Linked DNA regions of Struthio camelus. The protein of the gene in region 2 interacts with the protein of the main gene of each other region in a pairwise test. Links are inferred from orthologs where the notes say so. Each region holds a gene or a part of one and is shown on either strand. Other genes may lie near its edges. The genes, in order: TASOR2, KLHL40 and SPMIP4.

Region 1 (7,012 bases), on a different chromosome or scaffold from region 2:
TTGGGCCAGTCCATGTTTGCAGGTTGTGTTTGTGCACCTCACATAGCTGCTGGGGATCCTAATACTCCCCCACACAAAGTCAGTAATGGTCTCAAACTTAATTATTTGCTTTATCTTCCCTGTTTTTAAGCCTGATGACTGTAGCTTTCAAGAACTATTGTGTCCACCTCCTTATTTACTCATTTCATTGCAACTGTTTTCTTAGAATGACTGACAGCAAAATATATATATATACTGACAGCAATATATATATATATATACTGACAGCAATATATATATAAAAATATATATATACTGACTGCATATATCATTCATTTTTTTCCAAATAAAAGATAATAAAAGGAAATAGATCTTCAAATGACTGCTTCTTTATTTTAGACTTGTAGGTATGCCAGAAGTTCATGAGTCACTCTTTCAAAGCCAAAATAGAGAACTGCCAGGAACTAGGCCCACACCAAAGTCAGGTCATAGGCTCTCCTCCTATGCAGACTGCACATGTCTACCTGCCCAAAAAGGCATGAAAAACCAAACAGCAATATAGAAACTCCAGTCAGAATGGGTGTCTGACCCCCAGAAACTCCAGTCGTTACTCTCTTCCTCTCCTCCCTACCCCCCAAAAATAGACAACAAAATTCCCTTAAATCCCTTATGCTTTTGTAATAGTTGAAAATGGAAACAAATCACTGAGAAAGAATCTGTCACGAGAAATCCAAATTTTCCTTATCAGAAGTAATTCTTTATGCTAAGATAACTCGTGTTTCATTGCTGCAGTGCCTGAAAACGGTCACACTTGTGATGGACACGCATGCAGTCTGACTGCGGCTCTACTTTTCGTTACAACTGCCGCAGAAGTTCGGCGTCCTCCTTACGCCTCCCAGCACGAGGCACGCAGTTACACAGGGCTGTTCATCTTATACCCTCGCAGGGCAACCGGGAACACTGACCTTGGGAAGATATTTCCGTCTCATTTCACCCGAATATGAAGGCATTGGAACAACATGGAGGGCCTTTTTTTCACGTTCCAGGGCAGGCTACGTTTAGGACGAGCACCACCAGCGAGAACTCCAGCCTTTGATACGTCAGGCGGATCTAGGAGGACAAACACGGGATACGCTGCTGAGCGGTCAGAGCGAGCGATTGCTACCAGCTCTGCCAGTGCCAGGCCCTATAGCACTAGACAAATCACTTGCTCTTCCTCATGCCTTGGCTTTTTCACCGTGGGAACAGCGCTTTCTGCTCTGCTGCTGTGATGTTTAATTATAGCAAGAGGTTAGGAGCTCCCGGGTGAAAGTATCATTAATGGCATGTTACTGGCCTGCAGCATTGCCTTGAGTAATAAGTGACTTATAAGTGAGCTGTCACATTTTCACTTCATTTCTCTTTCTCCTTTTTTCCTTCATTTGCTAGTCCTTCCTACTAAGGCTATGACTGCCCCAGCTTGTGAAAATATACCCGAGCACAGAGACGCCCAAGCTGGCCGTGCAGAAGCCACTGAGGATCAGGAAGCAGCATCAGCATACATTTATCAGCTCAGCTATGTCACTGCGCAGTGCGTCCACAACGTGCGGACACAGCGCTCTCCGAGCGTGACATGCCAGCACAGGGATCTCTGCCCCAGGCTCTCATTGCGGCCCATGCACGCCACGAGCTCGGGGCCATCTCCACAGCCTGGTCGCAGGTGGCTCACGTCTCCTCCTGTCAGCAGCAACGGGGAAAAGCAAAGTCTTTTTAACGCATCAAGCTCCTACCCTTGGAAATCGGCCAAACGATCAGCCACGGCTCGTTGCTTTGTGCCTACAGTACCTAAAACGCTGGGTGGTCTCCTTTCCTAGCACCCGCCAGGGCTGCTGTCCAGCATGGCTGTAGGCCCACTTCTGCAACGCAAACATTAAGGCACTATTAGGCACGCTGTGTTCACACAAAGCCTTGTGTAACCTCGATTGCCCTCTACCATGTCCCATCATCTATTGCAACATGGAGCAGCAGCAGCGTGTCCCCGCACCTCACATGCCCACTAACAGCCACCTCCCCTCGACAGCCACCTTCAGGCACAACGGGGACCAAGGCAGCCACGTCGGAGAAATGAGAGTGCTCTGCTCAGCAGACAGCCACAGAGGAGCCAAAATCATCAGGCAACTAATTACCACAGGGGAAGGGGGAGCGAGGAGAAAGCCCAAAGGCCTGGTTCTGTCCTACAGTTTATTCACAGCTACTCAAGTGACCAGTTGTCTCCCTGCCAGGCTGATAAAGAGATTCCAGGTGGTGGAGGGAAACTGGATTATTTATCTACTTTCTCTGCTTAAACGTTCATTTGCCGCTCCACCTCGTTCTTGCAGCCAATCTGCCCCCAGGCCCTACACTGCAATCCTTTCGATGCATTCCCTAGGAGGCAGGAACAAAACGCCGAGAGACACCAATATCTGGAGGGAGACCTTGGAGGGAGACCGGCCACCTTTCAACACCCTGGGGCAAGTCCTCACCAGAAGGGTGATGGAGCTACCCCCTGCCATGGGGGTACCCCCAGAGCTCCCGGGGACACCACAGAGCAGGGCCAGGAGCCACCGTGCGAGAGGGCTCCTGGGGGCACTCCAAGGCCCCAGTGGGGTGGACAAGTGGTGGGGGCTCCTCAAGGGCTTGGCCAAAGGGAGTGATGGGGCTGAGGGAAGGCCCCAGGGAAGGGGCCGAGGGGTTGAGGGAAGGGGCAAAGAAAGGAACCAAGGGGATGAGGGAGGAGGCTGAAGGAAGGGGTCAAAAGGCCAAAGGATGGTGCTGAGAGAAGGAGCTGAGGAGATGAAGAAAGGGACAGAAGGGATGGAGGATGGTGCTGAGGGAAGGGGCTGAGGGGAGGAAGGACAGCGCTGAGGGGAGGAAGGATGGTGCTGAGGGAAGGGGCCGAGGGGATGGAGGACGGTGCTGAGGGAAGGGGCCGAGGGGATGGAGGACGGTGCTGAGGGAAGGGGCCGAGGGGATGGAGGACGGTGCTGAGGGAAGGAAGGACAGTGCTGAGGGAAGGGGCCGAGGGGAGGAAGGACGGCACTGAGGGGAGGAAGGACGGCGCTGAGGGAAGGGGCCGAGGGGAGGAAGGACGGTGCTGAGGGAAGGGGCCGAGGGGATGGAGGACGGTGCTGAGGGAAGGAAGGACAGTGCTGAGGGAAGGGGCCGAGGGGAGGAAGGACGGCGCTGAAGGAAGGAAGGACGGCGCTGAGGGAAGGGGCCGAGGGGATGGAGGACGGCGCTGAGGGGAAGAAGGACGGCGCTGAGGGAAGGGGCCGAGGGGAGGAAGGACGGTGCTGAGGGAAGGGGCCGAGGGGAGGAAGGACGGCACTGAGGGGAGGAAGGACGGCGCTGAGGGAAGGGGCCGAGGGGAGGAAGGACGGCACTGAGGGGAGGAAGGACGGCGCTGAGGGAAGGGGCCGAGGGGAGGAAGGACGGTGCTGAGGGAAGGGGCCGAGGGGAGGAAGGACGGCGCTGAGGGAAGGGGCCGAGGGGAGGAAGGACGGTGCTGAGGGAAGGGGCCGAGGGGATGGAGGACGGTGCTGAGGGAAGGGGCCGAGGGGATGGAGGACGGCGCTGAGGGGAGGAAGGACGGCGCTGAGGGAAGGGGCCGAGGGGAGGAAGGACGGCGCTGAGGGAAGGGGCCGAGGGGAGGAAGGACGGCGCTGAGGGACGGCGCTGAGGGGAAGAAGGACGCCGCCGAGGGGCCGCGGGCGCCATGCTGGCGGCGGCAGCGGCGACCTTGCGGGAAGAGGAAAACGGCGGGCGCGGCCGGACTCTCTTTCCGGTTCAGTTTTCACTTTCTGTTTTTTTTTTTTTTTTTTATTTTGGAGAGAGGGGGGGCGGACTTTTTTATTTTTTCCCCCCTTCCCCCCGCCACCCACGCACCGTCACCCACCTCCCTCCCTCTCCCTCCCTTCCTCCTCCTCCTCCTCCCCCCCTCCTCGGCCCCTCCGCGCCTCCCTGTCACTTCCTGCGGCCGGCGGATGGCGGCGGCCCCGCGTGCCGCCCCGCGCCGCCTCAGCTCGCCCGCTCCGCCACCACCGCCACCGGGGCCGGGCGGGTTGAGGCAGCCACCAGGCAGCGGAGCGGAGCCATGGGCGAGCGGCGGGACGGGGCGGCCGCCGGCGGCGGGACGGGTGAGCGGCGGCGCGGTGCGGTGGAGGCGGCGGTTGAGGGTGGGGGGGGGGAGCTCGGTGCCCGCAGGCAGGTGGCCTGAAGGAGAAGCGAGGAGGGGCAAAATAATCGTGTTTCCACCCGGGTTTCAGCTCAGTTCGCCTTCCTCATCCTTCCCCCCCCCAAAAAAAAACAAAACAAAACAAAACAAACCTGCCCCCACCTAGGGTTGGTGGAGGAGCCGGGCTGGCTGAGGTAAAAGGATGAATTTGGCCAGGATCCGGCAGACGAGGCGCGCGAGCAGTACACGAAAATAGTGATCGAGCCAAATTAAAAAAAAAAAAAATTTTTTTTTTTTTTAACTAAGGAAACCCACCCGGCCCCGCTCAGCTGGTGGTTTTGGCGCTGGGGTTCGGGCCGAGGCGTCAACGGGCTGTTTTTTTTTCGGGGGTCCGGCGCCGGCGGCGGTCTCGGGGTCGCCACGCTCGCCGGCGCCGCGAGAGCCCGCTGACGGGCGGGGAAGGCGGACGCGGGTCTCCTCGCGTCGCCAGCTGGTCTTTGGTGGCGTCCAGGAGTTTCCAGAAGCGTTAAACGCGACTCGAGCGCCCCGGAGTTGCTGTTTTTCCCCTAGGAAAGTCGGTGTGTCGGAAAATCCGCCGCCTTTAGGAGAAGAGGGGGTCTCGGGCCACCGATGAGACCACCTGGCCCCCGAAATTAGTCTTTCAGCGCTAGTTTGGTCTGTTTTTGGTGTTCCCGGTGAACTCAGCCCAAGCACGTCTGTCGGTGGCAGAGCTGGCTTCGGCGTGTCCATCCCGAACGCTCCCAGTCCTCCCAGACGTCAACATCCCGCCAGGCTTTGAGCCGTGTGGGCGCAACTCGTCGTGGAGCTGCGCAGCAGATTGCTGAACTTATCTGGATTAAAAATAGCCTCTTCTACGTGATATATATATATATATATATTTTTTTTTCCTGCTGCGGTTTGCTGGTGTTGCTCATTCTGCCCCAACTGTGGCAGCAGGGGAAGAGGACGAGCGTCGGGGCAAGGGCTTGCGTAGGTTAGCGCAGCCGTCAAGAGAAGCGTTTACGGGATTACAGCTTTGGTGCAACGGCGCCAGCATTGTCGCATGAAATAGGTATACCGGTACTGCTCGGTTGAAACGCCGCGACTGATCGTGAGCGCCAAATTTGAGAGAAGAAAGTGAAACGTCCGTCTTTTGTGGCACGTGCTGTTTTGGCACCGTTCTGCTCTGTTTTTGATGGTGAAAGAGTTACCCTCCAGTCTTGGTGGGATGTTCAGAGTTCGTGGGCGTGCGGGGGTATTTCAGTATTTCGTGGCTTCAGTTCCATTTTTACTGGAAACGCTAAGCGCGTCTTGGTGCTATTGGTAATTTCCGTAGCCAGAGGGTCCATACAGCAGCTTCACTGCTCTATCAAGCAGAACAAGAAACTAGAGTCAACGCTAAAATGGGAGCATCTATAGCGAGAGCAAAAGTAATGCCGCAAAACGAACCTAAGGAACGTTTTGAAGGTTGTCAGGCTTGCTCAAAAGCAAGAGGAGTAAGTAACTGATCTGGATGAGTATAGCTGCTGTTTTTCAGCTCGTTTCAGGTAGAATAACAGTACGCCTAGTTTCTCCAGGCACAGACAATTTTTTTCTTTTCCCAACTGGAAAATACGTGGGAGGGCTCAGCGTTGAGAAGGTTGTTTTTAACACGTGAAATGTTGCTGTTGCTCTGACAAGGCTGCTTGTGTTCTAGGAAATCTTAGACATTGCAGCAGTGCATGTGCAGTCAGCTTTACACTGCGTGCGCTTTAGATCCAGGACTTCCCTGGCATCGATTTATGGGGTCGGCACAGCACTGCGGGACTGGGGTCCTGGGAAATAGCAGGTAAACTCCAGCTTACGTGGCAGATTTTAGGTGCAGTGTGGTGGATTCCTATGTGTGGGTTTCAACTTAGAGTCTGTGGGCTGCATTTAAGGCATCTGTGAAATGTAACCTAAGAAAGGCAAACTTGTTGTTAGTGAGTATTTCGTTTTAGAGCTGGAGCGCTCTCTCCTGCAAGGTCAAAACACGGAAAGCCTGACTGTCTCAGTCCATCACGGCTTGTGTGCTAGCACACAGAATCGTTTGGCTGACTTGTTCTGCAAAGAAAGAGGCATCTTTAATTGTCTGAGCGCTAGAAGATCTGGAATGGTGCTAGATTTGGGAAGAGTCAACGCAGACCCCTGCGTTAAGTGAATCCACATCAAGCAGATTGTACACTGATAGAAGAGGGGAGCCATGGCAGGTCAGAGCAAATACATTTAGGGCAAGTGCTTTGAAGAGCATCTGCTGAGATGAAAGGTAGCAACAACTGCTTGTGCAATGAGTTAACAAAGGAAAACTTGCAATAATCAAATCTGCAATTACATGAGCAGCTGAAGACAGCAGGAGGGAGGTGATAAAATCACAGAAGTGTTGGTTGGAAGGGTCCTCTGGAGGACTCCTGCTCCAAGGAGATTTTCACCAACACCAGGCTAGTTTTGTCCAGCCAAGGATGGAGACCCCCACCTCTCTGTGGCCTGTCCCAAGGCTGCATGACCCTCCTGGGGAAAAATTTCTCCCTGATGTCCAGTCTGAACCTCCCAAGGTGCAGCTTGTGGTGTTTCCCCTTGTTTTACCACCTGCCACTGCCAGGAAGAGCGGCTCCATCGTCTTTGTGACTCCCCTTCAAGGAGTTGTGGGCTGCAGTTAGACCTCCCCAGCCCCTTCTTCCCCAGACCAAACAGCCCCGCTTGCTTGATCTCTCCTTAAACATGTCTCACACACTGAATGGTTGTGTTGGGACTGCTTTCTTTGGGTAGGGTTGTAGCCGAAAGGTGATCTAAATAAATACTGTCAGTCGCTAATGCTGATGAAAA
Region 2 (7,955 bases):
GTGTGGTCTTGCTATTGTTTGGGATTTTTCTCCTCTGCCTGTAATCTCCCTTGAGCCCTGGCGCTTTTTCCTTTTCTCTGTGCTGATCAGTGTGTGCTGCCCTCCGAGGCTTGCTATTGCATTCCCCATATCACGAGGTGCTGCTGCTAAAATGCAGCTGCAGCTGATCCTTTTCCAGAGAAGATCCCAACCTATGGGTGGGTCTGTGGCTTCTCCCAGGTTCGTGTCCCACCTAGGGCAAGAGCACTGCCTTAGCCACAAACCCCCTGTTGGGTCTGTCGGCTTCAGTGGCTTGACACAGCTGCTGGGCTGGCTCCAAAACTTGGGAAGAAACCCACTTTTTCCAGAGTGCTCTCTCTTCATATTTCCCATCATAAGGTGATACCACTAAATGCAGCGAGACCTATCCTGAGTCACAGCTCCCAGAATAAGTACAAAGGCCTAGGACACATATCTGCCTTCGGCCAATCCAGCTGATTGGAAACGAGGACTGGCTTGGGCTCACGTGACTATGGGTTCAACTCCATGAGCAACAGCTCACTGGTGAGGAGGGAACCACTGATCCACCTGCACGTGTAAGACTCATCACTTCAGAAACAAATGGATTTATGGAGACCAGTGCTATTTCCAGGAAAACAGGGCCTGAGAGCTGTTGTTTTGGGTCTATGTTGTCTATAAAAGGGCTTTCCCCCTCCCCTCCAAATTTCACTTTGGTGAAGACTTCTCTGGAGCAGCAGAACTCATTGAACCTTTCCATCCTTTGGCAGGTGGAAAACCCCACGGAGTAGACAACCTTGGCATGAGGTCTGCTATCATCTGTGAAATCAGCAGCTGGATTTTAGTTCCTTCATCATCGTGCCTTGCTTTGGCAGGAAAACCAAACCTCATCCAGGCAGAGAACAGCCCTATTTCTGAGTGGTCTGTGAGTGAAGCTGACTCATCCAGGACCATATAGGAAGCCACTGGCAGAGATGGGACTTCCAGGCTTCATTTGGCTCTGTAAAGTGAAACCAGACCATTCTAGAGCCTGACAGAAAAGAACCCAAATCAGCCATTAGTAGTCTGAAATGCTCCAGAGAAATGAAGGTGGGTTGTCACCCACCTAGTCTTAGCTCTCTCAGGGTGAAGGGTGTAGAGTTTAGGCTCCCTAAGAGCACAGGGGGAGACAGGCATCTCTGGGAACTGATTCACCACACCTGAATTAGACACTTGCCTTAGAGGAGAGGACTCTGGTGACGGCTGTGTCTCGCCATTCACTCTAGAGAGATCTTAAATAATGAATTCAGACTAGACAATCTTAACTATTCCCAGTGCCTTCTAATCACAGCAGAACTGGGACACTATCTTAGTGACAGCTTGTGGCAACATTCATACATGTAATCCCCAGCCTTTTGTTTCCTGCCAACACTATTTTTTACTATATCGGCTCAATACAGCTGCAGCCATCCCAAGCCCTGCCATCAGAACGATGTAGCCAGCACACATGGCCCAGACTGACCACCCCAAGACATCCCTCTATGAAACAGAGAGCTCTCTGGCTCCTGAGCACAGGCACATTCAGCTCAGCTAAAGGTGGGCCTTCCCCAGGGAAGTTTTTGCTATGGCCTGGTGGGACAGAGGGCCAAGCTGGTGGACCCAAAATCCTCTGAGCAACTCTGTGCTCTGGGGTGGCTCACACAGCCACATAGTGCTAATGGGGAGACCTTAGGGGTGCTCTCGGAGCTATTGTGCACCTCTTGTGAACCCTTCTGGGACTGGGAGGAAAAAGCTAGCATTGCTTTAGTTGCAGCTCAGCCAAAAGCTTCAGATCGTCTCAGCCATCAAATAGTTGAAGTTTGGATTTTTTTTTCTTCTTACATATTAGCTTACACATTTCCAGGCTGCATCTCAGGCATTGCATTCTTTTATCGCTTGTGTGTTTACTCTTGCTTCATTCCTCGTTTTTATTTGCGTGCGCTGGTTGGTTGTTGCCATTTTACAATCTCTGTTTATGCACAGGCAAGTCAATAGGATTTCTCGGGGCTTGGGCTGAACCCCCCTGCGCTGGAGAGCCTCAGCCACATCTGCTTGCTGGGGGATACATTTTTCTTTCTGATGATAGCAGTGGAATCTGAGGCAATCATCAGTTTTGAGCCTCTGGCAATGGTTCTCTCTTGTGGAGGTTTTGATCAGGGTAGACTTTTCCCACAGAGGCATATGCTGAGGCTGATTGATTGTCTCTTTCTCAGGGCTGAGCAGTGAGAGACACTGCTGCAATACCACCACTTTGGCCACTGGCCCTTTGGCTTCTAATGGTGGCAGTAACCGAGCACAGTGGCAAAGGGTTAACCTCATGCAAAGTTGGGGAAAGCCTGAGTTCCCCTATGCACTGGCTCTATAACAAATTACTCGCTCAGATGGTGTCTAAGATTAGCTCCTTCTGGCAGCTCCAGGAGATGCAGCTGCTGGGTAAATTTAGATTCTTAGTGAATGGATTATTTTCTCTCCGAGAGTATCCAAGTCAGGAGGGCACTGCAGAGTCACTGGGCTTTGCCACGTGAGTCATTCACTTTGACATCAGGAGGTCGGTGACTCTGTTTCTCCTTCCAGGCAGCCAGAGACCTGAGCTGTGCCACGAAAAGACACAGAGACCTTGGTCTCAGTCTGCTGCAGCTCAGCACGTCTTCAGCTGTGCAAGGACACACATATTCAGGAGAAGAGCTGAATTTTACACTAGGAATAAACACATCATGTTTTAGCTGTTTTGATGGCACAGGGTAAATCTGAGATGATGGGGAGGCCAAGAAGCTACCAAGAAATTTGTTAATGTCCAGCAGCAGAGCCTGTGTTGAAAATGGATGTGCATGGCAGCTGAAAGGGTTTTGGGATGTGACTAGAGGTGCCACCAAGGCACAGTATCTGCCCTAACTTCCAACATTTTGGAAGGCTCCCAAAGAAAAAAAACAATACGGCTTCTACCACAAAAGCTACACGATGGCAGTCAGCTAGTGGCATTGCAATAGCATGGAAGTGGAGTCACAATAACGGTGAATACAAATCAAGCTGCAGCAAAATGCCACGTAGATGTGTCTCTATTGAAGTCAGCAATATCCTATCTTGTGTAAAAATTGGAGGTGGAACGTGCAGACCTGCGAACAGATCCTCCTGTCTCTCATCTCGGATGGCAGTGCATTACAGCAGCTAGAGATTGGCAGCAGGCCCTGTAGGTGTCCAACATTTATTTACTACATAAATAAATGACATATATAAGGGACTTCATAAAGCACTTTGGCATAGCTGAAAGCTGGCTAAGAACAATTCCTGTTTTATCCACAGGGAAACTAGAACACACCAACACCAAGCGTCCCCATCCAGGTTGCAAAGTGGTCCAGATCCTGCCCTCACCAAGCATTGACATGATTCAGACACGAGGCTGCTTATGTTACTCCAAAGTTACAAGAAACCCAGGGATATTTCACTTATCTTTCCCATGAGACACTGTGTCTCAAACGGGTACATTTAATGCACTCCATATACAGTGTCCCAAAGTCTACTTCTCAAAGTATGCTAGCAAACAATTTCCCTCTCCTACCGAGCTCCAAATCATTGTCTTTCACTCAGGGTCTTTCTCCTTTGGTTGAATGTGTGTATGTGCTCTTTCAGACGTGCAGTTACGGGCTTATGCTGCGTTCACCAAAATCAGCTGAGCAAAGGGCTGGATGGCTGGAGATAGCAAGGGCTGGTTAAAAAGTCCTCTGTTTCTCAGCAACGGGTAAGAATTCAAGCTTAAATCTTCTTCCATGGCACAGAGAAAACAGGGATGAGATTGGGTTTGAATTCCAGGGCATAAATCACAGCAAGACGGTAGCGGTGGCCACATCAGTCTCACATCCCTCGGTGGAGTGCCCTTTGGGTCTGAGTCAGGGCCTGGGGATCGAGCCGTAATGTGAGAGTCTTGCATTGTGCTTCTTCAGTGTGCTCATTCCACAGGCGACTGGTACCTGACGTTCTCTGGCTGTGAAGCAGGTATGCCTCCCACGCTTTCATTAATTAGGCATGAGAACGGCATTAAATCATTTTTTCAAGACATGTAGAACTGAAGGGACCAGTTCTGCAGAGGGTTTGAGACCGTAGCAGACATCACTCTGCGTGGCTGACAGTGGAGGGGAGATAATTACTCTTCAGTGTGCAATTCCTAGCCCTCTTTTCCTTTGCTATAAAGACTGTTTTATTTATTTATTAGCCGCATGGTAGGCATATATCGTGCTGAGCCATTTTACAGTCCTTACTACACAGTATAGATGTTGAACACTTGACAGTGGATGTTGACTATTTCTTGTAGAAAGAAATGTGTTATGCTTGGGCTGGAAATGACCTGAAGAGGGTCTGCTCAGAGCAGGCTCAGCATTAGCCAATCCCTTTCTCAAAGCTGCATGCCTAGCACACCCTAAAACCTTCAGGAGTGGGACTTGGATAGTCTCTGGGAGACATAGTCTTGTGAGAGAGCCAAATGCTCTAGTGGACCAGATGTTATGGAAACCAAGGAGTGAAATCTCTAGGCCTATAATATGTCAGAGGGTCAGATAAATGATGAGGATGGCTCTTTTTGGCCTTAAAGAAATGGATCGGGAGCCTACCTCAGCAGTCTGCCACCCATGGATAGCCTGCATAACACCCCCAGATGTCTTATAGAAAATCATTACTGCAGCAAGAAAGTGCACCTTCCAGGTGCCTTACATGTGGGTGAGCTACAGTAGTTTGACTGCCAGGAGTGCTTGGAGAGCCCGTCAGTGACTGGCCTGACAAAGGTGGTTGGAGGGGAGCTGAGGTTTTGGGGTAGGCCCACCGATGTTTTTCTTTACTCTTTCTTTGCTTTGTCATGCTTCTCCTCCTCGATGGCCAGGACACGCTCACGCTCTTTGATCAGCTGCACTCCACAGTACGTGATGAACCAGATGGACAAGGTGCTGACAGGGAAACCTGGAAGACGGAGGAACATGGTCATCTCGGTATGGCTGCTTGCCTAATGGGGCCAGTTCTTCTCTAGCACTGCTTCCCCTCAGGCAGGCTCAGGAGGTCTCACAGGCTCACAGTGGCCAACCTCATTTTCCACTCTGGATCCAGCCCTAGAGCGTCACTGACATAGGAGAGAAATCCCCAGGGGCAGATTTTAGATTAAGCGGTACCTGCGTCCACCAAAACACCATGGACTGCAGTCAAAGCTGGAAAATGCTAGAATGGCTTTAAGCGTTCCCTTCCCCCCAGACAAACCTCCTTCTTCCCCCTAAATTCAGTCTGGTTGACCTTCTGGCCAGCCAACCTGCCAAAACCCCTTGTTGCTCAGTGTTACGACTTTCTGGAAGCTTTGGGCCCAGTTGACGCTGAGGGTCTCACCTGAGCCACGTCCTGCACCTAACGTGAACATAGTATGCATGCAGGGAAACACACCTATTTGTCACCTAGATAAGCAACCCAAGGGCAGGGAGCTCTCATTCCACTTAGGAAGGGTCCGATGTCTTTTGTAACCATAAGTCTGGTATCCATAGCAGAGGAGAGACGCAGACTTTGTACCTGCTAAAATAGGACCTCTGGAATGAATAATGCAACCAGGAAAAGCCAGCTAACTCAACTGGCAGGAACTTCTGACCGTCACATTATCCGTTTCCTATGCCAGCCCCTGGCCCAGAGAATGGCTGGGAGGGCATGGATCCCAGGTAGCTATTTTTACCCTGCACTCTTTGAACTGACTTCAAAATAGTGTTGCCACCTACTGATAAGAAGCGTACAGACAAGATTGTTTAGTAGGAGCCTAGCATGAACTGCTATATTAAATGATGAAGATGATCAAGTACAGATGCTAGGAAGTAGATGGGTTAGGTGGGAAGATTTGTAACTATCATCTTTGGGCTGACATGGGAATAACTGCTAAAGCAAAGGGAGATGAGACAGGCTGAGTAAATCCCTTCTTCCAGCAAGGGAACAATTTCCCAGCCAGGGAGAACTGGAGTCAGCCCACCTTGGGAGGTTGACAGCAACTTTTCCATTGCTGCAAAAAGTCTTAATCATAGAGCCCTGCCTTCCTAGGAGCTATACAAACACACCTCGAATGCAATCTGTGCCCCACAGAGCTTGCATGAGAAGGATGGGAGGAAAGAAACCACTTTCTGCATATTTTGTAGGTGGGGAAGGTGCTGCCCACAAAAATTAAGGTAGCTTGGGGGTGGTCACATACCAAGTCAATGGCCAGGCCACTCTGTACTCAAGAGAATTGGCAAGCCCCAGGCCCCAGCTCCCCTCCCATGTGTCTCCCATTAGGATGAGATCCCTCGCTGAGGAGGTCAGTAGCACCTTACCTATCAGGAGGAGTCTCTTGGTGACCAGCAGCGCGAATTCCAGGCTGTTGAGGGCCAGGATGTTGTAGAGAACGATGGCCCAGAAATTTGCTGCCCCAAAGACTGCCCTAATCCGCCGAGACATGGCCTCTGACATTTTGGCCTGTTCAGGGGAGAGGAGCAGAGAATTAGGGAAAACGGGGCTGGTTCTTACAAGGGTGACATGGTTTTAGTTTTTCTTTCCCAGAGCCTATGTAACCACAGCCAGCTATCCCTGGATAGCTTATCTGGTGAGCTGCAGGTCCTGAGACACCCCGGCAGCTCCACATGGAGTCAACTCCTGCATGGTGCAGCTCCTAGGAGGTCAAGCTAGGTCCTCAGTGAGTTGTTTGGAGACCTCAGCATGGTGCTCCCCAGCACCCCAGGCTCTGCAAGGGCTGGCTGAATGTGACCAAGATCCTCCCCAGACTTCATGAGAAAGGGTAAGGAAAGGAGATGTGCTGAACCACAGATTCATATCAGCCAAACTCCAGAAGGGATCCCAGATGGGTAGGCATAAATCAGAGCAGCCTTTAGTGTCTGTGGGATCAAGAAGCATAAGGGCAATGTAAAACTTCTGCTCTGCTCCTGGGCTGGCATTTTGAGGTCTCATGTGTAGGGCCAAGTTGTTAGACATGGTTTCATGCTAATAGTAGCGGCTGGTAACTCCTTTCTTCATCTGTTGCCTTGGGTAAGACCTCCCTCAAGGCAGATGAACGCTGCTGTTTGCTAGGTTTATTATTAGCCCTATGTGGAAATCACTCCAAGCTTCTGGTAGAAACTGTTTCTTACGAATTAAAAAAAAAGAGCTGAAAGCTAGTGACAGCAGCAGAGTGGAATTGTCACCAGCACATAATCCTCAGGAGCAGCTGCTGAGAGCGGAGAAGGGAAGTGGTTTATAGCAATCTTCAAAGAGCACCATGAATCCCCAGGCCACTTAGTGCTGAGAATTGTGGTGCCGCAGGGAAGAAGATTTTACTAGCTGTGAGTGCTATAATCTGATTAAAAGTTCAACAAGGAGAAAAAATGGGAGGATTTTTCTTCAAAATTTTTATTCGAAAGTTGTCTTTACTGGATCAGCTTAGGTCCTCCAGACTTTTTAGGCTGAGCAGAAAAACAAAAAATATAATTATTTCTAGGAATGGGTCTCCTGACTTTTTCTTCCAACCTGTCTCCAAGGTACCCTGGTCCCAAACAGAGACTGGGCACTAAACTTCAGAGAGATTGGTAAAGAATTAATTGTAGTATCTGAACATTTCCTTTTATCACAAATTAAACCAAAAATATCCAATGCCAAAATGTTTTGCAGAACAAGAAAAAATTAATTTCCATATGGAAATACATAAACATTTTCCTGTGAACACACCTTGGTCTTTGAGTCCATCTATGCTACTTTGATGCCTCACTGGGCTGCAGTCCTAGTTCTCTTGGGCATCTATTTTCTCTTTGAAAGCTCGACACCCAGCCTGTTTCCTATGAAGCATCACAGGGTCATGGTGGGTGACACCATGCATAAGACGATGGGGTGCACAGCACAAGGACTTCCCTTGCACAACTGACAGTCTGATCACAAGGATGCTAAAGGCTGTGGGACTCTGCAGAGCA
Region 3 (7,198 bases), about 34 Mb from region 2:
CTATGAAGTGACTAGCCAGAAGTTTGGTCGCACAGTCATAGAAAAGTGTGATGAAAATGATCAAAGTTGCAGAAAGAGCTACGTAGACTAGTACTTCTCAGGTAGAGGAAGAACTAACCAACAGGAGGAATAATAAAGACCTATAAAATCAGGACTGGTACAGAAAAGATGGATAGAAAATGATTATTCATGATTTCTAGCAACACAAGAACTAGGGGTATCAAAAGTAAGTACGAGTGAGAAGCTTTAACCTAAACTAAAGGAAGTCCTTTTTCATACAAAACACTAATGACGGAGCTCATTGCCATGGAATGCTGTGGAGATCATACATAAAACTCAGTTTAGAAAACAGCTGCACAAATTCCTGAAAGAAAAAGTTATTAAATACAACCACGCAGATGCAATCCCTACTTCAGAGAGTCTCTAAGCCACAGACTGCCAGAAGTTGAAAAGGCAGCCTGGAGAAATAACATTCAGGACAGGAAACCTGTTGTTATATTCTTCCAATACCTGCTACTGGCTTCTGCCACAAATAGGATACTTGTCTGAAAGGAACTTTTCTGAGCCAGAAAGGCCTTTCTCGTGTTTAGAGGCAGCTCTCAGACTGAGCTTTCACTTGAGCTGGAAATCCAAATTATCAATAACGTATTCAGTTCTAATGCAATCAGCCATACTTTTTGACAGGCTCTGAGCTTAAACCAGCAAAGTTATAAATTGGTGGCTTGAGAGTTGTAGAAGAGTCGTATGCTAGGATTGATACAGTCATGCTGTCACTACTGGGATCATTCAATGACTTGCTTTGCTTTACTTTCCATAACATTTTGGGGATTACCAGAAACATACAGAAAGTGAGAAGTGGGAAATCACAAAGATATCAGCTTTTGATCTTTGTTTCTTCCCACTGTAGAGCAAAAGACATAGTATTTTTTATTATCAGAATGGAGTATTTAGAATCAAATCTCTCCAGGACCATTTGTGACAGATTCTCTTCTGCTCAAGTTTTCTCTCTCCTGAGAGATGAAATTCCTCTGATTTGACTTGGTTCAGGAGGCACTGTTCCCATAGTTCAATTGTATCTTCACATCAGCAGTCTGGTCTCACACTTAGGTGTATGTAATATACAGCTGTGGCATCACCTATCAAAATCTCAGCCTTCGTTTCCTGCAGGAAAATCAAGAAAGGCTGCAAGCGTTGTCTAAAACTTCAGAATGTTTATACGATGGCTGTTACAGACCACATTCCTCTGACCAGATCTGGAAAGATATCTGATTAAAATGTTGGTGGTATCAGCAGAAGAAACAGATTTGTCTTATGGTTGTCATCCCAATTTATCCACTTAGAGCCCAAGAGCTGACTGCTAGAAGAAATACTCCAGATATGTCTTCAGAAAAGTAATGTGTACGTTTGTAGGCTGCAATTGTACTGATACTGTAAGAAAAGCACACACCTATAACAGCTTTCAAAAATCAGAAGATATTAAATGCTACTGAGGTTCAGCCCATCCCTTTATCCTGTGACCTATCGATATGCATAAAGTAAAAGGAAAATTAGAAGAAATTATTCCCATTGCCTACTAGTCTAAAAAAAGGAGACAGGTGATTAAGACAGATACAGGTAAAGAAAATCACATACAAGAAAGTTTATTTTGCTATATCCCAGATTTTGAGAGGCACTCAAGCATTGCTTTGCTTCACACAGCAACACCTCAGCAGATAAAGAACATCATCCTTTATTTCTTTTAAGGCATCGCTTTCAACAGAAGGTAGGACCAGATGCTCTCCAGAGGTCCTGTCCAACCCACATTTCTCTATGATTCTATAATTCTTCAAGCTTGGGAAATGCAGAGCTAAGGCAAAACTGTTATTTTGCAAAGGAGCCTTTATCTCTATTTCATGACCTTCTTTTATTAACTTTAATCCTGAGTCCTACAGCATAGGTAGGTCACTGGCCACAGCAGAATGTTTCCTAGTCAACAGCAGGAATGGTGCCAACAGGTAGAGGCATTTAACTGTTCCTGTCTTCTGGAACTTGCTGACCACTTAGCTCTCTTTCCCTATTTTGTCATATTTAGGGCACTTTGTTCTGGTTTTGAAGCTTCTGCAAAAGACATTTATCTCATCTCTGAAACCTGTAACAATTGACTTCTTATCAGTTATCATGTTCACTGCTCTGAGTATGACATCCAGCCACTTTGCCTCTTGCAACGCATTGAAAATGATTGGTACAGGCCAGAAAACAAAAACAACACGGTTCACAAACAGAAGTAGTTGAAAGCAACATGTACATCAGAAACCTCCCTCTTTCACTTGTCTGGGAATTCCTACATTTCAGACAGACTTAGAAGGCTGACCTTAAGTATAGGCTAGAGAGAGACAATAACCAGATGAGGAGTTTTCAATCCTTTCAGCTACAGCTTCACATTCTACCTATAGCAAAATACTTATCCCCTTTTTTTTCCCTCACATATATTTAATACCTCAGCCATAATGAATGAAGAAATGGTTAAATATTAGAAATGGGAGCTAAATTTCACACTCTGCATATTGCACAGATGCACAGACACGCACAGTGCAATACATGTATCGTATGGGCGCATTAAGTTACCATGTTTGATTTTGGAAATACTACATTTGTGCATATACGGGTAACAAATAATAGAAGAGTAGTACTTCAAAAACAGAAGTAACTATTAGCCACATTCTAGTTTTGAGAGTAAAACACAAGGAGAAAGCCAGACAGTTGCTCAGGCAAATGCAATATATAGTTTAAATCTCATGCTTCCATACTGCAAGAGTTTTTTTAAGGCTAATGAAGGGAAAAGCAGACATGGAAAAGAAGAAGGGAATTCCTGGGTCCTTCTGCTTCTGCGCATGTGTCTAGGGGAAGAACACACCTGCAGCCACTCAGCCGAGAAGCCTAAAGAGAGCCATTGAGAGACACTGAAACAAATCATACACAAGATGAGGCTAATTAACTGAAGGGAAAGAAAGAAGAAAGTTGTGCATACATGAGTGGAGAATTGGTGAGGACATAACAGTACCAGTCAAGTGACATTTTAAAGAATGACAGCAAAGAGACATTTCTCAAAACCCTGCTTGTATTTTGACCCTTACTTCCCAAAGCCGCCCTGCCTCAAGGAGAACACATTACATCGCTTTTCATCACATCTCTTAGATTCAAAGTATACAAAGGTTATCTTCTATCTCAGAAGAACTTTATACTAAATACTCCAGTTGAAAACAAATAGATTTAAAATTTGTGGAGAAGCTGAACAGAGCCAGTAAGGTCTGATGAGCTCCATGTGTTTTCATTCCCAGTAGGGCTCAGCTGGCCCCTTTGCATGAATTTGTGAGGGAGAACAGAGATGAACTTTTTAAAATCAGCTTCTCTGTGAGCTGCTCAATTCTCTGGGTACACATTATACATCTGTACCTCAAGGCAATAAAAGTATTTAGAATTAACTGTATTATATGATTAATATGAAGAATTCTATTTGTAAGAGAACTGAGGCAAACTTTCTCTGAACCCTGCTGTTGAAGAGAACAAATAAAAGCATGTGTCGGAGGTGTTGAACTCATTTTTGAGTGCAGCTAGTTTTTTAACCAACTATCTACTTGTCCTTTGTTGTCCATCATCAATTCTGAGAGCTGCAAATTTGCCCTCTCTGAAGAGACATTTCAAACGAAATGGGGCATCCTAATTCAGCTGCTGATTTCCATTGGCAGCTAGGAAAGAAAAAGTACCAGTTTAATTTTGATGCCTATGAAGGAATTAAATACCAGTGAGGGTACCTGTAACGTTGTTATACTGGGATCACATACGGCTTATGAAGTCTTGAAATAGCGAAGTGGGAACACAGGTGATTCTGAACTGCTCTTGATCTAGAAATGTCACTTTTGTGCGAAAAGAGCAGGGGAGTGGAAAATAGCAGACAGTTGTCAGAATACACTTCCTGCCCTGGTTCAGCCAACACCATATGCTTCTCGAAGTTCCATATTTCAAGACATTTCCTAACAGATAAATACTTGTACAGATTTATATTGCATATGAATCTATGAATCCCCAGGGGCAGCCTGGAGGATTGCAGAGTCCACCCCCACCTGAACTTTACAACTAGCAATAAATTCTTTCTGGGTGTTATTTACCTCCTGTGCTAAGTGCAGATGGTGCACATGTTGGGGCTGGCACAGCAGAGCAGCACAGGCTGTGCCTGTGCAGTAGCTCTCAGTGCAGATTTTCCTAGTTACCCCAGAAGTCACAGAGATGAGGACACGGTAGCTTGGTCTGACTGTGAAAAGGGGCACACAGGAGAAAGTTTGAAGGTACTGTACAAAATAATGACTTTTTTTCTGTTTTCCAACATATAACAGAAAAATATTCCCATCTTGTTAGTATTATCTTGAGAATGAATCTGTGCTATTCTTATTTTGTATAATACCGTTCTCTGAAATAGCCATGACGTTATATGCATGCGTATACGTCTGCTACAAAATTTCCTGTTCAGATCCCCACCAGCTAAGAAGTATCAGCGCTCCCACCGAGTATGTACATATACATATTCTGTCTCTGTATACTTGATCTTCAGAAAAGATGATGAGCAGTGCCAATTCACTTTGGCCTTAACTAAAACTGTACAACCCTCCATAATCTTGCATTTGATGGCATTATTCCCTTAAACAGTGACTTTAAAATACAAATTGGCATTATCATCTGATCCTGTCCTCACTCTAGGATAAATATAAAGTAATTCCACTCAATTTAATGTATTTATTGATTGATTTACATGACATGGAAACTTTGAGAGTGATTTTTATTAATAAATTAAAGAATCACTGAAGTGAATCTGCTGTGTGCAATTACACAATCTCTTTTATGAGAACAGGCCAAAAGTGAGGCACAGACCCTTGAACTAAAATTACTTTAATGGCTAGAAAAGAAGTACCTCTTTCTTCTAACATGCAAGTCGCATTTTCACATTCTGCGTTATATGGTAAAACTAAGAAAATGGTATATAATTATTTTCACAATCTAGATGGTCAAACGCTGTACTCAAAAGAAAGATAGACATCAAAACAATGTACACAGAAAAAGTGGCTTGGGGATATATATTTTTATGATTTTTTTTTCCCTAAAGCAAAAAGAAGACGTTTGTGATTACTGAAATACAATGCAAGTTACTTGAAATTCAAATAACCTGCAAAACTGCAAAACTGGTATGTGGCCACGAGAGGGCAGAAATAACATTCATTTTATAACCCCGTTTCTGTGGGAGAATAACATATTCCTTCAAAGAAAGTGTGTTTTAGATTGCCATAAGACGCTACCGAAGCAGTTAGGAAAACACAAACTATACGGTGAGCTTCACAAAGGCTACCTCGTGATCATTCAATGTTAACAATGGCTGGTAATACTGAACTTTCAATTTTTAAATATATAAACCATTCCTAGAACAAGTAAACTAACAAAAAAAGAAAAAACTGTAATGGCAATTGATTTAAAGCCTGAAAAGAGCATTTCTTGAAGTGTGTATTCAGCAGGCTATCAATGTTTTCTATCTTTTGTCTTTTAGCATTGGCAAAAGGATAGCAATGTGTATCATTTCTCATTTCAATAAACAGTTTGCTTTGGCTCTTTCTGGATCTGAATGCATCTGTAGCTCTCGCCACATAACAGCTATCAAAATCAGTGAGAAGTCTGGAGAACAACACCTCTGTCCTCTTTGTCCAAATGCTCACATTCTTCTGTTTTCACTACCACAATTAGGAGAAAACGAGAATTAAAGAAATGACTTTTCTCCCTACTTAGCCGAGTTGGCCTCAGCTCTTCTCCCTCCACTGTCCTTTAGGTAACAGAAATACAACTTTAATCAGTCAGAAATGAACTTTCTGTTTTCTGTTTCCGCTGGCTAAATTACGTTATGTCACTTGCGGCGTTTCCAGTTTCAGTGTGGAGAGATACTGGTTTAATAACTGTCTCTGCAACCTGAATCTTCTCTGCATTAGGTAACGGGAGGTTTGAAACAGCTCTGATTTGAGATCATACATCAGCCACAGTCAAACATGGATGACTGTTTTATCTGCCTATCAGAGCCATAAAGTAACTTTATTCCCTGGGAGCTGAATATGATTATGGCAGATTATGCATCCAATTCAAACAGCGGCTTGTTGCAAGGCTCTTTCTTCCCATTGCCCCAGCACCGCCTCAGCAAGCACACTGTTATGCCAGAGCTTTCATTTCGCTCCAGAGCTTTCATTTTGCTTATCCTACATTTTCCTTTTCCCTCTTTTCACATAACTCACTTAAGTAGATAACTTAGTAAAGATGTCAGGCTTGTAATTATCATTTTTAGGATTGGGTTGAGGTCAATTTTTCTTAGGTCTCCTGTACAGCCTGGGAGGAATTCTCAAAAGAACATTTGCCTCTTAATGCCACCTCATTTTTGCTTTTGCCTTCTGACTTCCGCAGTGTTTTAGAACTAAAACTGGTTGTGACAAGCTCATTCTCTGCATTCTGTGTACCAGACAAAGTCCTTTCAGGTTAAATTGATGGAGTCAGGGCCACAGGAGTGTTCTATTCACAGTCCTTGGAAATCATCAAAATATCCACCTTTCCCTAACTTCTTTGTCACATCAGCAAAGACAGTCACTGTAGCCACCCTGCTAAGGGAGCAATACAAAGAGATATCAGGGACTTTTGTTCACTAGTTCTGATCCCTAAAGGGACTCACTAACACCTGGAGACACAGCTGAGCGATGATCATATACCAGAGATGCATCCAACTTCTTGGCAAGCAGTGGTAGATCTACATGTGGGAACCCTCTTCTGTGTGAGGGTTTGGAGGGTACAAGTGATCACCTGAGACTTTTTCTCCCAGTTAGCTCACCTCTATAATAACAAATAATGCAGGTCAGTCTCGTACTGTCTTAAAACTTCAACTCTTTACCTTCCATGGTCTTTTTTTGGAAGGAAATAACAGAGGTTTTCAAAACCTGAATAATAAGTGAATGAAGGAAAAGATTCTGCTGAGCCTTGCTATATATTCATCTCTAGACTAAGATGAACCGTGGGAAAAAAACAAAGAAACAATGTTTTCATGGAACATATTTAATCTGTGAACTCCAGGGTTATTGATTGAGCTATAGCACTTGTACATGGCACAAACATTAAAGGGCAGTTCGCTTTAAAGTGATGGCCAAGC

Evidence for each region.
Region 1: the proteins of KLHL40 (region 2) and TASOR2 interact in binary tests that used the Homo sapiens proteins (3 or more experiments, as listed by UniProt). The two-hybrid records come from large-scale screens. The link is inferred for Struthio camelus from reciprocal best matches to the Homo sapiens genes KLHL40 and TASOR2.
Region 3: the proteins of KLHL40 (region 2) and SPMIP4 interact in a two-hybrid assay, tested with the Homo sapiens proteins (2 studies listed by BioGRID and IntAct). The two-hybrid records come from large-scale screens. The link is inferred for Struthio camelus from reciprocal best matches to the Homo sapiens genes KLHL40 and SPMIP4.

What each region holds. Positions count from the first base shown.
Region 1 is NC_090942.1:2,180,966-2,187,977, reverse strand, and holds the start of TASOR2 (protein TASOR 2), read left to right. Parts: upstream 1-3,983; 5' UTR 3,984-4,090; coding exon 4,091-4,133; intron 4,134-7,012.
Region 2 is NC_090943.1:4,043,699-4,051,653, reverse strand, and holds the start of KLHL40 (kelch-like protein 40), read right to left. Parts: upstream 3,026-7,955; 5' UTR 1,858-3,025; intron 1-1,857. Other genes in the region: HHATL (protein-cysteine N-palmitoyltransferase HHAT-like protein), read right to left, coding at 4,838-4,959, 6,333-6,474. UniProt on the Homo sapiens protein: Substrate-specific adapter of a BCR (BTB-CUL3-RBX1) E3 ubiquitin ligase complex that acts as a key regulator of skeletal muscle development.
Region 3 is NC_090943.1:38,164,592-38,171,789, reverse strand, and holds the start of SPMIP4 (sperm-associated microtubule inner protein 4), read left to right. Parts: upstream 1-4,174; 5' UTR 4,175-4,322; intron 4,323-7,198. UniProt on the Homo sapiens protein: Microtubule inner protein (MIP) part of the dynein-decorated doublet microtubules (DMTs) in flagellum axoneme. May serve to reinforce and thus stabilize the microtubule structure in the sperm flagella.